Linked DNA regions of Macaca fascicularis. The protein of the gene in region 1 purifies or fractionates together with the protein of each later gene. This does not show direct contact. Links are inferred from orthologs where the notes say so. Each region holds a gene or a part of one and is shown on either strand. Other genes may lie near its edges.

What was found. The genes of interacting proteins can lie anywhere in the genome.
Region 2: the proteins of CDC5L (region 1) and CWC15 purify together in Homo sapiens (affinity purification with mass spectrometry; 4 studies listed by BioGRID and IntAct, with this or other methods). This does not show direct contact. The link is inferred for Macaca fascicularis from reciprocal best matches to the Homo sapiens genes CDC5L and CWC15.

What each region holds. Positions count from the first base shown.
Region 1 is NC_088378.1:127,066,301-127,074,419, forward strand, and holds the end of CDC5L (cell division cycle 5-like protein), read right to left. Parts: intron 4,935-8,119; coding exon 4,722-4,934; intron 3,984-4,721; coding exon 3,879-3,983; 3' UTR 853-3,878; downstream 1-852.
Region 2 is NC_088388.1:93,954,311-93,961,346, forward strand, and holds the start of CWC15 (spliceosome-associated protein CWC15 homolog), read right to left. Parts: upstream 5,291-7,036; 5' UTR 4,990-5,290; intron 3,885-4,989; 5' UTR 3,877-3,884; coding exon 3,746-3,876; intron 2,860-3,745; coding exon 2,747-2,859; intron 2,438-2,746; coding exon 2,349-2,437; intron 1,477-2,348; coding exon 1,369-1,476; intron 1-1,368. UniProt on the Homo sapiens protein: Involved in pre-mRNA splicing as component of the spliceosome. Component of the PRP19-CDC5L complex that forms an integral part of the spliceosome and is required for activating pre-mRNA splicing.

The sequences.
Region 1 (8,119 bases):
AGAAGGTAAATTTCCTAGAACTTAGAAATGGCAAAGTTAATAGAAAAGAGATTGCTATTAGAATTTTCTGCTAACAACAGATGTTTAAATGTAAACAAAAGTATTTCTTAAAAAGTATACATTACTTAAATTAACTAAATAATAAACATAAAAGGAAAAATATATTTTAAAACAATTTTTTTAATTTAAAGTTGCTTAAATTTAAAAATAGATAACATAATAGTCACAAAAGAAACTGACAGTTACAAAGAAATTATTTCCAGAAAGCACTGTGAACTCAAAAGTTCTACAAATACAGACTTTCAACCTTTCATGAACAAATCATTCCCATGTTATAATAGCTTAATGCACAGAAAAAGATATACAGTTATCCTATTTACTTTAGAGAGCTAGCAAAATCCCAATGTCAACATACAATAACCAGGCTGGGCATGGAGGCTCACACCTGTAATCCCAGCACTTTGGGAGGCCAAGGTAGGTGGATCACCTGAAGTCAGGAATTCAAGACCAGCCTGGCCAACATAGCGAAACCCCATCCCTACTAAAAATACAAAAATTAGCCAGTTGTGGTGGCGCATGCCTGTAGTCCCAGCTACTCAGAAGGCTGAGGCAGAGAATCACTTGAACCCAGGAGGCGGAGGTTGCAGTGGGCCGAGATTGCACCACTGCACTCCAGCCTGGGTGATAGAGCAAGACTCCACTTAAAAAAAAAGTACAATAGCCCAAAAGACCAATCTCACTAATGTAAAAATGTAAATTTCCTAAATAAAAGATTAGTAAATCAAATTCAAATGCATTTGTAGGGAAGATACATGGTTAGCCAACATTAAGTCTGCAATCACTGTAGTGTAGTTTTTCTTTGATTTCGTTTATTAGACAGCATTATGTCTTTAATATTTCAAAAAGGACTCTCCCTTGTGGTGGTTTCTTTCAGCTTTTTATCACATTTTATTTCTATCCCAAAGTTACCGAGACTTTAACATGCTTAACAAAATTTTAACAATAGCTTAATGAATGCCTTAATGACCAATACCTTAGTGAACAATACCAAGGTATTGAAGGTTATTTTTATTGTGATTATTTTTTAATAGAGACAGGGTCTCACTATGTTACCCAGGCTAATCTTGAACTCCTGAGCTCAAATGATCCTCCCACCTTGGCCTCCCAAAGTGCTAGGATTACAGGCATGACCCACCACCCCTGGCCTCAATGTGAATGTTAAAATAGTAACCAAAATTGCTGTGTGGTGCTGGTAAAGAATCCTGGGCTTTACAGGATACTAACAAAGGATAACAGTGTGTCTGTTCACCATTTCAAGTGGCACTGCTACCTGGCAAACGCATATGCAGTTTACGATGCGCCAGTTTTGATATTTTGTAATTCTTGCCAATTTTTTTAGGTTATAAGTTTGTGCATTACTTCAAATTTTAAGAACAAAGTGAGCCTTTATTAATATTAGATCGACTTTTAAATCCATATGTCTACAAAAAATGCAAATAAACTATAAATCCTTTAAAACTTTTTAAAAATTAATCTACCTGATTCCAGGAGTGCAAAGATGATTTAATGTGGGAAAATCTATTAATACAGCTCATCAGAACATCAAATGAGAAAAATTATATGAATGCTTTAATAGATGCCCGAATGGTATATTTTTTAAAGTTCCAGAGCCATTTCTAATTCAAACTCTTTAAAAATTAAAAAAGAGACACTATCTTTCAGATAAAGACTATCTAACTCCCAACAGCAAACTTAAAAGTAAAAACTATGGACATTTCCATTAAAATGAGGGAAAAAAAAGTCTAACATCATTATTGTTATTTAACATTGTCCTAAACATTTCTGCTAACAAAACATGCAATAAAAGTGAAATAGAACTATCAGAAGAACCACTATCATTATTCACTGATGATACTGAAGTTTTTCCTAGAAAACCCAGAACTTACTGAAAAAAGTATTTGAATTAAGTGACTACATACCAGGAAAATATGAATTTATGGTCTGATAAGACTATTAAGAATACAACTATCATGTCTCTCCACATATCTCCACTACTATTACCTGGACCCTAGTTAGAATCACTATTATTTTTTTGTCTGGATGACTGCATCAGGCTCCTAAATGGACTGGTTTCCCTATTCCCAGCCTGGTGAGATCTTACACAGTTAAGGAGATAAAGTGATGTTTCTAAAACCAAATCTGATTATGTCATTCCTTTGCTTAGATCTTCTCATAGATTCTTATCATATTTAAAGTAAGATCCAAATTCCTTATTATAGCCTTATTTATGTGGCTCTATACAACCAGGCCTTACATACAGAAATGCCATTCTTGACACTCCAGCCACATAGTCCTTTTTGTTCCTCAAACATACAAAAGAGGCTTTATGTTTGCTATTCACTCCACCTGGGATGCTCTTTCCTTGAATCTCACAAAGATGGCCCATTCTAAAATGTCAATCACATGTTATCTTAAATGTTACTTCTTTAAGAGGTCTCCTTGGCCATGCAGCTTATAGTGGTATGGTGTGGTACAGTGCAGTGGTATAGTGGTGAGCACAGCTGCCTTCCAAGAGGTCTCTTTGATCGTCCAGTCTAAAATAGCCAGTCATTCACTATCTCATAATCACCCTACTTTAATTTCCTCCACAGAATCTGAAACTCATGGTCTGATACTTTCCCTGTACATATTTAGTATCTCCTCCCCACTAATGTCACCTCCATGACAGCAAGAACTCGGTCTTAATAACTGCTTATCTCCAACACTTAAGTAAGTGTCTGACACATAAGAATCACCAAATAAACATTTGGATTTTAATTGTCTGTTATTCTCAAAAGACTATAAGCTCTACTAAACAAGAACTAGGCCTATTTTGTTCATTGTTCTCTCTCTAAAACTCTGGCACAGGGTATACATTCAATATCTGATGAATGAATGAATGAATGAATCCCTTCCCTTCCTATAGTTCCTAGTATTCTAAGACTGGGCAAATGTTTTTGGTCATCTCAAAACATTGCTGGCCTATAATGAGCTCATAGCCAACTGATACTGTACACTAAATTAATTTATATGAATTATTATAAAATTAAATCTCTCCACCTCTATCCATTCCCCACATTCTACACTGATGTAACTGACTTCTTACGCTAAACATAGAGCTTTAAGTTTGATGGCCTTCTTGAAATTAACTTTTAAAATGCCTTTGTCAAAAAATACTTACAAGAAAATAATGGGTCAAGGAAAATTAAATATTTTAAGCCCTGACCCATAAATTATTTAAGTAGCTGGAGGAGAAGAAACCTTCTTTAAAGTGATATTTTAAAAAAATTTGAGGTACTAAAAAGTTAATCTAACTCATCAGTGTACACAGAAATGACCATTCTTTGCTGAAACTAACAAAGCCACAAAGAACTGCCTCTTAAGTGTTTAAGATACTGCATCACCATTTTGATTACCCAAGAGTTACTCATTAAATATGACACAGAGTACATAGCTGCTGGTTTGCGGGCACTCTTAAGTATCTAATTACTTAAAACAAAAGGCTACATTCTCAATTTTTTATATTTTGTTTTTATTTAAGAGTTACTCACAGGCAGCACTTTAAAATTAGGCTTTTTAAATTAAAGGCCAAAACTAAAAAAGTTTGCAAATATGACATTGCTAAAAGAATGACAGCCTTAATAATTTAAACTCTAAAATGTCCGTCCTGTGGAGTTAAGGTCTTTATACACAGAATGTGTAAGATCGATATCATTTAAAATAAACAACCAAAAAACCACAGATGGTGGGTAAATTTGTCAATGAAGATAAACATCAGTTTCAGCCTTCTAGAGTATGAAAACCGGCAATTAATCCTGTGACAGAATATAAACTGTACTTCAGAACTTTGACTTTAAAGTCTCTTTCTCCAGCAGCAAATCAGCGTATCTATGTTGAAGTTCCTTTTCTCTTTCTTGTTGTCGCTGAACATCTTCTTTTAGACACTTAAAGAAACAAAAATATTAAGTAATTCTTTTAGATGTAACTATATTGAAAAAAATCTACAGTACTTTACTATCTTAAAAACCAGCCGAGTTAAATCATGATTCTTAAGAGGTAAAAATTTCTCAAAGAGAAACAAACATATCAAATACTTTTGCTATAAAACCAGTATCACAGCCATTCTTTGATTTGGTCATATGAAATCCTGCTGCTACTTCAAATAAACAAACCACTACTGTCTTATCAGTACCCACAAATGCACTTCAAGAAGCCCTGGCTGCCCTTTAGCTGGACAGGAGCTATTATGCACATTTGGGAGATAAATTGAATCCAAATCCGGTCAAAGGAATTTGATGGTTTGGAAGGACTAGCTATGTTCCCAGCCACCTAAGTTATAAAACAGAAAGATATTGGTTTAGTTTCCCCTCACAGAGCTACACGAATGGGATGTGATCAAGTTTCAAGGGGACAAATTACAAGGGCTAAGTATTCCATTTCACAGTGTATCTACGTATGAAACAGAACATGAGTAAAGGAAGGCCTTTGTATCTACAACTTGCCTAGTCTATCCATCTACACAGAGGCAATTCTAGATTAAAGTCAAACACTTTAGGCTCTCATTTTTAAAAGCCTGACAGTACCAACTTCAGAGACAGCCTACATAGGAGAAGTAAAAGAGGACAGCCCTGATAATTCTTTGCAGCACTCTTTTAAAGCAACGCTTCAATATATAACGTTACCTCTAGCCTCCGGGGAATAGCAGAATCTTCATGTTTCTTGAGTTCTTCAAAAGTGCGTAACTCCAAGTGAGCCTGTTCAATTTGGTCCCATAAGTCATTCAACTGTTTCATGAGCCCCATAGCACGAGACTGGTAACCCCCAAGCAAAATTTTCATCTTCTTTTCCATCTTTGCAGCTCTCTTGGCTTCTGTCGTCATGTGACCCCTGTTTATCTGGAGAGCAGGGGAAGATCACATCAGCATACATGAGAAAAGTAGGCTATTAAATAAAGGGCTAAAAAGGTGCCATTCGTTCATGCATGTGCCTCAAAGCAAAAATACACTAGAACTCCTTATAGCTCAACTACTGTAAAAAAAAAAAAAAAAAAAAAAAAATCAAGCTTAAGAAGGATTTATCTTGCACCTAAAGGGTTTTATAGGTGAGTACCAAATAATCTATAATCTATTTATAATAATTTGACCCATGACTGAACCTCAAAGCGGGCTTGAATGTCACAGTAGGGGAAAAACTAATGCCTACTTTCTGAAAATGACTTCTGCTATCATTCAACATATTTATTTTGGGACTAGCTACAAGCCATCTTCATCATCTATATCCCAAAAATGTACTTCTGGGAGTCTGTTCACACATCAAGACCCCAACTTTTACAGTTTCCATCCCAGGGCCTGCATCCTAAATCTCCTGGCTCTGGGAGCTGAGGGATCTAGTGCAAGTCTTCCTAGATCACTACATCCCTAGAACAAAGAGATACTTTTAATCAAGCATGCAAGTACTTTCACAGACTGCACCCGTTGGGGGCAGTGCAGAGAAGGAGCCAAAAACATGAAGCTCCACATTTCTCCCTGGAAGGGGCTCATGGCACAGTCTTCCAGTGGCTACTTGACAGCCTGGCTTTTAACGTGCATGGGGAGTTAATGGGACAGTGGAGTGCAAAAGTAGCCTTCTGGCAGCCTAAGCAGCAGCTGGACACTTTCCAAGCCTTTCCCCCTAGTCTGCCCCAGCAGTAACTCTAGGCCTACCAATTCCTCCTAGAAGGAGTTTATCCACACATCAAATGCCTCAATTTGCACAGCATCTACCCAAAGGACTATATCCTAAATCTCCTAGATCTGGTAATGGAAGAGACTAAGCATATGCATGTCTCTCTAGATCAGAAAACAAGGAGGTGGTTTTAAACAGGTGTGCAAATACTTTCTAGGGCTACACTCTCTGGGAGCAGTGAAGAAAAGAGTCTGGAACATGCAGCTCTCATTTTCTCTCCAGAAAGGGTTTATAACCACATACTCTTCCAGTGGCTACTTGACAGCCTGGCCTCTAACTTGCATCAGAGAGCTAATGCGGGAGATAAACAGTACCCCTCAGGCAGCCTGAGCAGGAACTTGGCATATCCTGAGCCTTTCCCCCAGCACATCCCACTGATAATTCCAGGCCTACTCATTCTTCCTAAAAGGAGTTTGTCTACAGACTGCGTGCCACACTTTTACAGCTCCACACAGACAAGGGACTGTACCCTTCACAACCTAAGCTCTGGAAAGTGACAGGGCTTTGCATTCCTGAATCTCCCTAAACCACAGAAAACAGAGGTGGACATACTACGAGCCCACTTCCAGCAGATTATCTCACCAGGATCACAGAGTGCAGCCACAACACAAGCATAGGCATTTGCCACAGAGACGGCTTAGTGTAGAGAGAGTGGAAGAATCAAGCACTTATCTTCAACATGATGACAGAAGGAACTAGGACACATACCCAACACCTCAACCTTCCCAGCTACATCGAAGCATCTGGCTTCTACCTGACTGATTACAGGGTATTGATGGAATATAGTACCAAGAATAGAGACAGCAGTCTGAACAAATACAAAGATTTAAAGGGTATCTTAAAATATCTAGCTGGATGGATTGGCAAGATCCTTCTGCTACACAAGGCCAGTCTAAGAAGTCTGAGAGAGGCAGTTGTCTCATGTAACGCACAGAAACCAACACAGAGACAGCCAAGAACAATTAAGAAATAGGAAAATATATTCCCAAAAAAAAAAAAAGAAACAAAATAAAGCAATAAAAACCAACCCAAGTGAACTGGAGATATATGATTTACCCAACAGGAAATTCCAAATAATGGTCACAAAGATGCTCACCGAGGTCAAGTGAGCAATGCAAGAACAAACTGAGAACTTCCACAAAGAGACAGAAAGTATTAAAAAGTACCAATGAGAAAACATAGATCTGAAAACTACTAAAACTGAACTGAAAAATTCAATATGGGGGTTTGACAGCAGACTAGTTTAAGCAGACGAAAGGATCAGTAAACTAGAAGACCGGTCACTGGAAATCATCTAACCTCAGGAGCAAAAAGAAAAAATAATGAAAAAGAATGACCTAAGAGACTTATGGGACACCATCATGGAGAACAACTTATGCATTATCAGGTGCCAGAAGGAGAAAAGAACAAGTAACATATTCAAAGAAATAATGGCAGAAAACTTCCCAAGCCTGGGGAAGGAAATGGAAAGCCAGATCCAGGAAGCCCAAAAGACACCAAATAAGATAAATTCAAAGAGACCCACCAAGACACATCACAATTAAAATGTCAAAAACTAATGGCAGAGTATTGAAAACCGCAAGAAAAAAGCATATCACCATGTATAAAGGAACCTCCATAAGACTATCAGAGAATTTCTCAGCAGAAACCTTACAGGCCAGAAGAGAGTGGGATGATATATTTAAAAATGAAAAAGAAAAGAAAGAGAAGGAAAGGAAAGGGAAAGGGAAAAGAAGAGAGAAGAAAAAGAAAGAGAAGAAAGAGAGAGCAAGAGAAACTGCTAACCAAGAATACTATACCCAGCAATCCTGTATTTCAAAACCAAATGGATGATAAAGACTTTCTCAGTCAGAACTGACTTTATCACCACTAGACCTGCCTTACAGGAAATGCTAAAAGGAGTTCTTCAAGCTGAAGGAAGAAAACACTTATTAGTAACATGAAAATATATTAAAGTACAAAACTTGTTTTTTGTTTATTTTGGATATTAACCCCTTATCCAGGCTGGGCGTGGTTTGTACGTTGTCATATCCAAACATTCTAATACTCTAATGGCAGTGAGTAAATCAATTATATCTCTAGTATAAAGGTTAAAAGGCAAAACTATTAACAACTAAAGTGCAACAATTTGTTAAGGGAATATTATATAAAAATTTTAAGTATAACATCAGAAACATAAAATATGGGAGAAAGGGGTGTAAAAGTGCATAGTTTGTGTATGCAATTGAAATTAAGTTATCAACTTAAAATACCCTGTTATATAAGCTCTTTTATGTAAGCCTCAAGCTAACCACAAAGCAAAACTCTGTAACAGACAGACAAGAGATAAAAAGATAAAATCCAAAGCATACCACTA
Region 2 (7,036 bases), on another chromosome or scaffold:
CTACATGTAAAAACTATAAGCTGTTATAGGAATTATGCTGTCTTATAATACAAAACTTTGATGAGAATTGTATTTTAAAGTGCCTTCCTTCTTCCAATCTGAATTCTAAGTCATCAAAGTCCATCCCAAATTCTACCTCTTTTCTGAATTCTTCCCTGGCCCTTCTGATTCACATGAACTCACTTCCCTAGATTCCTGGTATTGACCATGTAGTATATTTTTTTACTTTCTTTTTTAAAAACAGAACAATTCTTGCATCAAATAAAATTTTACACAGAAATCTACAAAAAAGCTGTGCTGCTCTGGTTGAAAACATCCCTACCTGAATGTCTTATAATGTGTCAAATTCAGTATGTTCAAAACAGATCTCATCAACTACCTCTTCTCTCTGTATAAATATGGCAATTCTTTTGCATTCCCTGTATTGATGTACAGCACCAACATTTACCTACAAAGTGAGGGTCCTCTCTGCTGCCACAATCAATCAGTCACTTTGTCAACTCTACTTCTTTTATTTTTTATTTTTTCCTGCTCCCCTTCCCACTTTGACCTCCTTGATAATCAGTTCTATCAGCATCTAATTACTTATCTTAATTCCAACTCCTATCATACAAGTTAAGAGTCTCTTAATTGGTAAGATTACTGAAACAGCCTCCTAACTCAGTTTTTTTCCAATCCATCCTGCGTATTTTTGCCAGAGTAATCTCTCTAAAATGCATATCCAATTTTATCAATCTCCTGCTTAAATCAACCAGCTCCTCATGTCCTTTAGAAAAAAATCTAGACTCCTTCAGCATTGTTTTGCAAATCTCTAATGCTCTGACTTGTGCTTGCCTCCTCAGTTTCACCTCTTATTATCACTCTGGGTAATTCATTAAGAGTTTTAACTATCTTTGAGTTTTATATTTTTTCCTCATATTGTGTAAACGGAGAGACTGTGGGGGCTCAGCAAAGTTAGGTAGCTTGACCTAGGTTATATAATATCTACTGACTAATTGCCTTAATAGTACCTAGGCAGGTGACAGAGAGATAATCTTTGTAGACCATGACTATATCTTGATCATCTTTGATTCTCCTGTCAATTAACAGATATTGACTAAATGTTGAACAAATGAATAAACTAGTGAATGACTAGCAAGCTGGTGAATATTACTCAATGTATCTGAACTATTGGGAAAGAATTTTTAACATAACCAGAATACCTAGGATGTCACAAAAATAATAAGATTTATAGATCTACAAGTGCTATAATATTTAGACACAGTAAGGGAGATTTCTAATATAAGAAGGTATTACTTATATTCAAAAAAATTTCTACTTTAGTATATGTGAGAGGAGAGATGTAAATATTTAACACTTTGGTTTTACCTTCCTGGCCTGCTCTTCAGCTCTTTCCTTTTTAATTTTTTCCAGTTCTGCAAGAAGAGCTGCAGTATCATCATCATCACTTTCTTCTTCAAAATCTTCATCTTCTTCCTAAAAGAACAGTGAGAGCCCAGAAGATTGGAGGGAAAATATACATTACCAAAACACAGTACATATGTACAATATATCACCCTAAGAAAGTCAAAACAATTTTATGTAGCTCAAAACAACTTTAAGCTAGCAAGTAAAGATAATCAAAAGTGCAAAAAACTGCTAATTTCTCAGAAGAAAATAATTTCAAATGAATAATCATTAAATTTCACTTGAAATTAGGTTTCTTGTTTTAACTATTATGAGTAACTCCATCATTTAACTCTAGAATTAACTGCTGATATGTATACACAGGTAGATATTACTCATTGGATGCCACTCAGGTTTTTCACTGTCCTGTATGTAGAAAACTGCAAACTGATTATAGGCTCTAGGGTCCCACAGAATTTTATCATTAACTGATGTGCTAATCCTTAAAAACCTTCTGCTTAGATTACTTCCCTCACTAAGCACAGAGGGAACCATTAAGTGTACTCCACTTATAGAAAGGGGCATATCTAATGTGGAAAGGCCTCCAGGTACAACTCTAGAGGGCACTGTTTATAGGAAACCCAGTGTGAAGAGTGCCCTGTAGAGGTGTGTAACACACCATAGTGCAGTAGTTTAGTACAGGACATTATTTTGCGGGAAAGCATGTCTTTTAAGATTCCTTCCATATTTGGTTCTCTAGAGACCAAACTTGTTCTTAAAAGTCCCACAAAATAATACTTTTTGTTTTAAAATCAACTATAAAGTTTAGCACTGAGGTCAGGGTTATATTTGAATAACAGCAAGCAAATATATGTCACTTCTTAAAGCCAAAGGCATAACAAGTATTTCAGAAAAACATGGTAAATCAATTATTAGAGATGAAAGGAGAAAACAAAACATACATCTGTTAGAGGGTCATCTGCATCAAGGTTGGCAGCAGGAATCTGGTCTAACCGTGGCTTTTTTGACACTGAAGAGGAGGTTGTATGTTCTGAGGGGAAACAAAAATCACTTAACTTAGTAAAACAAATACTGCATCTCTTAAAATGTTTTAGGGACCTGTGGGCACGAGGAGCCCACACTGAAAGCATTATCCACAGTGAAATCACATCCACAGTGCCTGGGCAAATAAGCCTTTGGTAAATATTTGTTATTGTTATCTCTAATGACTTAAGAAAGTATTACAGCTCACATCAATCTGTAAAAGCAAACAAATGGTTAATATTTTCCAGTTGCTACATAAAAGAAAAACTATCAACAACATAATTTTAGAGATAAATGTCTTGGATAGTGTTGGTACCTCGGGTTGGACGATCTCTGTTTTTCTCTCTTGCAGCAGCTCTCTCTCTTTCTTCCAACTCTCTCCTGAAGTCACGGTTACGAACCTCTTCAGGGGCATCCTGAGTAGTTTGTCTAAAGTAGAAACAAACCAGGGCAAAAATGTTACTTAAACACACACACACATACACACACACACGACTGTGGTAATGGAAGACAATTCAGGAATGAGACTTTGTCCTTCAAGCATAAAAAAGGGAAGTAGATAAGATCATAATCTAATCTGAAAGTTACTAACAGCCACTCTTGTGATGTTCCCAATATTTCAAGAAGTCCAAATTCAATCACGTATTTTCCTATAATAAGGCTTTACGTGATTAAAATGTCTTTAATTTTTATTGGTATTATCAACTCAGAACTTAACAGTAATACTTTTAATATATTGACTGGTGCTGATAGTGCATAATCTCTCTGAGGCATTATTATTTCTGTTATTTATTGTTGTATCTACATACGAAAATTTCTGGTTAGTAGGAATTTTGCATTTTAAAACCACAGGGCAGAATTTTAGTGTTAAACATCCTATTGCATTCTAATCCTATGATAATAGATAAGTGACATAACTCGAACATACTACTATATCATGACCATGCCATTTAACAGATTTGGTCTTGTTTTGTGAACAAGAAAAAAAAGAGGCTGGGCGCGGTGGCTCAAGCCTGTAATCCCAGCACTTTGGGAGGCCGAGATGGGCAGATCACAAGGTCAGGAGATCGAGACCATCCTGGCTAACACGGTGAAACCCCGTCTCTACTAAAAAATACAAAAACCTAGCCGGGGGAGGTGGCGGGCGTCTGTAGTCCCAGCTACTCGGGAGGCTGAGGCAGGAGAATGGCGTGAACCCGGGAGGTGGAGCTTGCAGTGGGCTGAGATCCGGCCACTGCACTCCAGTCTGGGCGACAAAGCGAGACTCTGTCTCAACAAAAAAAAAAAAGAAAGAAAAAAAAGAAAGTCTTACTACCTGTATTTTATCTTTGTGTGAGAGGGTAGGTCTCTGCTTGAATACTGCTTTGAAAGTTGGCTCAAATCACCTTCTCCTTTTCCCCTTCCACCTCTTGCAGGTTCAAAGGTTGGCCTGGCTGCTGTTGTCATCTTTTATGCTTTGAAGAAAAATATAATCAAGTTATTTACAACAATACAAACACTCATTTTACAGAGTATTAATATCCATACTAGTGAAATAAATTCTAAAACTCATTCCCCTAAACCTGCTTAATCTTCTTAAACAAAAGTTTTCAGGAAAACAAATTATGAGGCTTAGGCCGTACAACGAATAGGGCTTCTCCGGCTTGTCTTAGTACAAAAAATTCTGTCATGAAGATCTGAGTTTGCATCCCTATTCTCCTTCTGACTATATGGGCTTGAGCAAGTCACCTGGCTTAACTTTCTGTCATCCGTGGAATGGAGATATTCCTCATAGGATTACTATAAGAATTATGACACTTGACATGTCAAAAGCCTTGAAAAATACAGTACTACCATGACTAAGTTTTAAAAATTTCCAACTCAACCTTACTCTACCAGACTCTCTAAGGTTTGCATTTTATCTAAACTTCACACAATAGCAAATAGGCTAGTAGAAACAAAAGCTAAAAACAAACAAAAAATATCACTGACAAAGTTACTAAGTGTCTGAGAAAAAAGTTACTAAGGAAAGTGTGTTAAACTTCAATGACAGGTACATAGAAAAAAATTCTTAACCTTTTGTTGAGCCAATTTTCTCCTACAACAGGCATCATATTATAAATCAGATCGTTTGTGGGTTATAACTTAAGGACTGTTCAAAAAAAACAAAAACAAAAACAAAACAGGAACCTCAGCCCCAGAGGATTCTGATGACAAAAATCAGGGACCCATTCCTTAAGTTACTTTCTGCTTGGAGCAGTCACAAGAATACTGCCTAGCAGATGCAGTCATTAAAACCCTGTTAGTGTCGGAAAAGCAAGTGTGTGGGGAGGGTGGGCGAACTGGGAGGATTTTTTTTTGTGGGGGGGAGTGCTTTCTCCTAATTTTCAAAAAGAGTAAGAGACATGTATACAAAGAAGAAACGGGGTTATCTGGAGCTGGGAGTCCGCCCCTTCCCACACACTAACGGAATTATTACTCCGGCCTCTCGTGAGCTAGTCTTTGGCTATAACCAGAAACTCGTTGCCCCTTAACCCGTGCCCAGCGCCGCAGGGGTGCGAGGGGTAGTGAAAGGAGGACCTGGGGTTCGCTTTACGCGGTAGGCGCGCTGCCTTTTATGCTGCGATCTCCTCTGCGGGCCCGAGAGCTCCGGACGCGCCTGACAGGCACTCCGTTTCGCCCCTAGCCCGCTGCTCTAGGTCCTCCACCGCCCGCACTCTGCACTCTGCCGCCGACTCCGACCCCAACTGCCCTTTCCCGTCCCACCGGGATGAGGAAGATAACCTATCCTCCTGCCGCTCACACTGGCCGAGGTCCGATGCAGCAATCTCCGAAGATCATACAGACGCCATTACGACTCCGAGCTCCCAGAAACCTCTGCGCCCAGGGCTAGCGCCTACGACCCGGAAGCAAAATCCAAGCGCTTCGGAGGCGGAAGCAACGACCAATCCGCAGTGGCCGAAGTGGAAGTCGGCGTAACGGCACTAGGGGGCGGGGCCGAAACGGCCCAGGGGGCGGGCGTTTGAAATCAGTGCCTTAGAGTAGACCCTAAACATCATTTTATACCTTCAAGAACCAATTACTTAATGTCTCTTCCGTCTTTTCCGTCCCCGACCCCCTCCCAGACTCCTTCATTCCGGTACTGCGTGGACGGAAAGCCCCGGGTAGCCGACACCACGTCCCCGGCTAGCGGGAGAGAGCGTGGAAAAGGATTACACCAAACTGTTTAAATCCAACGACTCCTGCTTCCATCCTTTCTCCTGAGCTAGAACCAACAAACCTAGAGAGTTGGGCTTCGGAAAAACTAGTGTTTTCATTTAATTGGATATGAAGAAAGAACAAATATGTACGGGGCAACCACGATCTTTACAAAGGTACATTCCTGCAAAAATATTAACACTTCAAAGCAAAGGTTGTATTCGTAATGTTTGCTAAAATTTTTTATTTAAAAAACGTTAGTTTTAGTGGGAGGGGAGATGTCAATATTTACGACAGCGTTTAGAACGGTGGGCCCAACTGCCAGGAGCACAAGATGTAATTACTAAGATGGCTACTTAAGTGTTAAGTTTTAATAAGAACGAAAAGGAGAAAACCCAAAAACCAAAAACCCACCAATCCTGTCTCCTCCCTTCCATAAAAAAAAATCCTGAGAACAGAGATCTTGATTGTTTAGCTAATCTTAGTATCTCATCACATAGACCTTGACATATAGTAGCTGCTCAATTAATATTTGTTAAACAAATGAAAATTCAACTTCCCCAACTTAGTTTAAAATATAAAGAACTCACAAAGTTGAATATTTAAATGCTTTCTTACCTCTAAATTCTTTGCAACTTTTAAATGAAGAAAGAAAAGCAGAAAAAGCCCTTTCACTCATAGAGTTCAAGATGAAAATCTTGATTTTTCTTACTAAAGGTATCCCTCCTCCAGTCTTACACGTCTCACTAAAGGACACGATCATCATACTAGTTACTCAAACCAAAATCCCAGAGTGCCTACTTAAATTCCTTTTCTTTCACTTTTCACATACGGTTCATTTACAGGTCTTACCAATTCTACTTTTAAAACTTACCCGAAATTTTATTCTACTGCCATTACCCTTGTCCTGGCCAACACCATCTCCTACCTGGATTGTAATTGTTTCCTATTGTATCTTCCTGCGTCATCTTTTATCCTACAGTCAATGCTGCATATAGCCAAGAGAGTGATCTTTTAAAATTAATCAAATGGTGTTACTATCCTGTGTAAAATTTCACTGCACTTAGGATAAAAATCACATTTCTTAATGTGACCTGAGACGCCACGGCGTCTGGCTCCTGCCTAACTTCCAGACTTCACTTCCAATCAGTCACTCGCTTACACACTAAGCTCTAGACACAGCCAACTGGGCATTTCTGTTTTACGAAACAGGGCAAGATTCCTTCTATTTTAGGGCCTTTGCACTAGCTTTTCTCTGTTGCCTGTGCCCCAAGATAACTGTATCACCATCCTTCATGTCTCAGGTATCACAGTGAAGTTTTCCTACCCCCACCCCTCCAACACTTGTGTTTGTACACCATCACATCACCCTGTTTCATTTTTTCATACCACTGAACATTACCAGAATCTAATCTATTCATTTTTTACT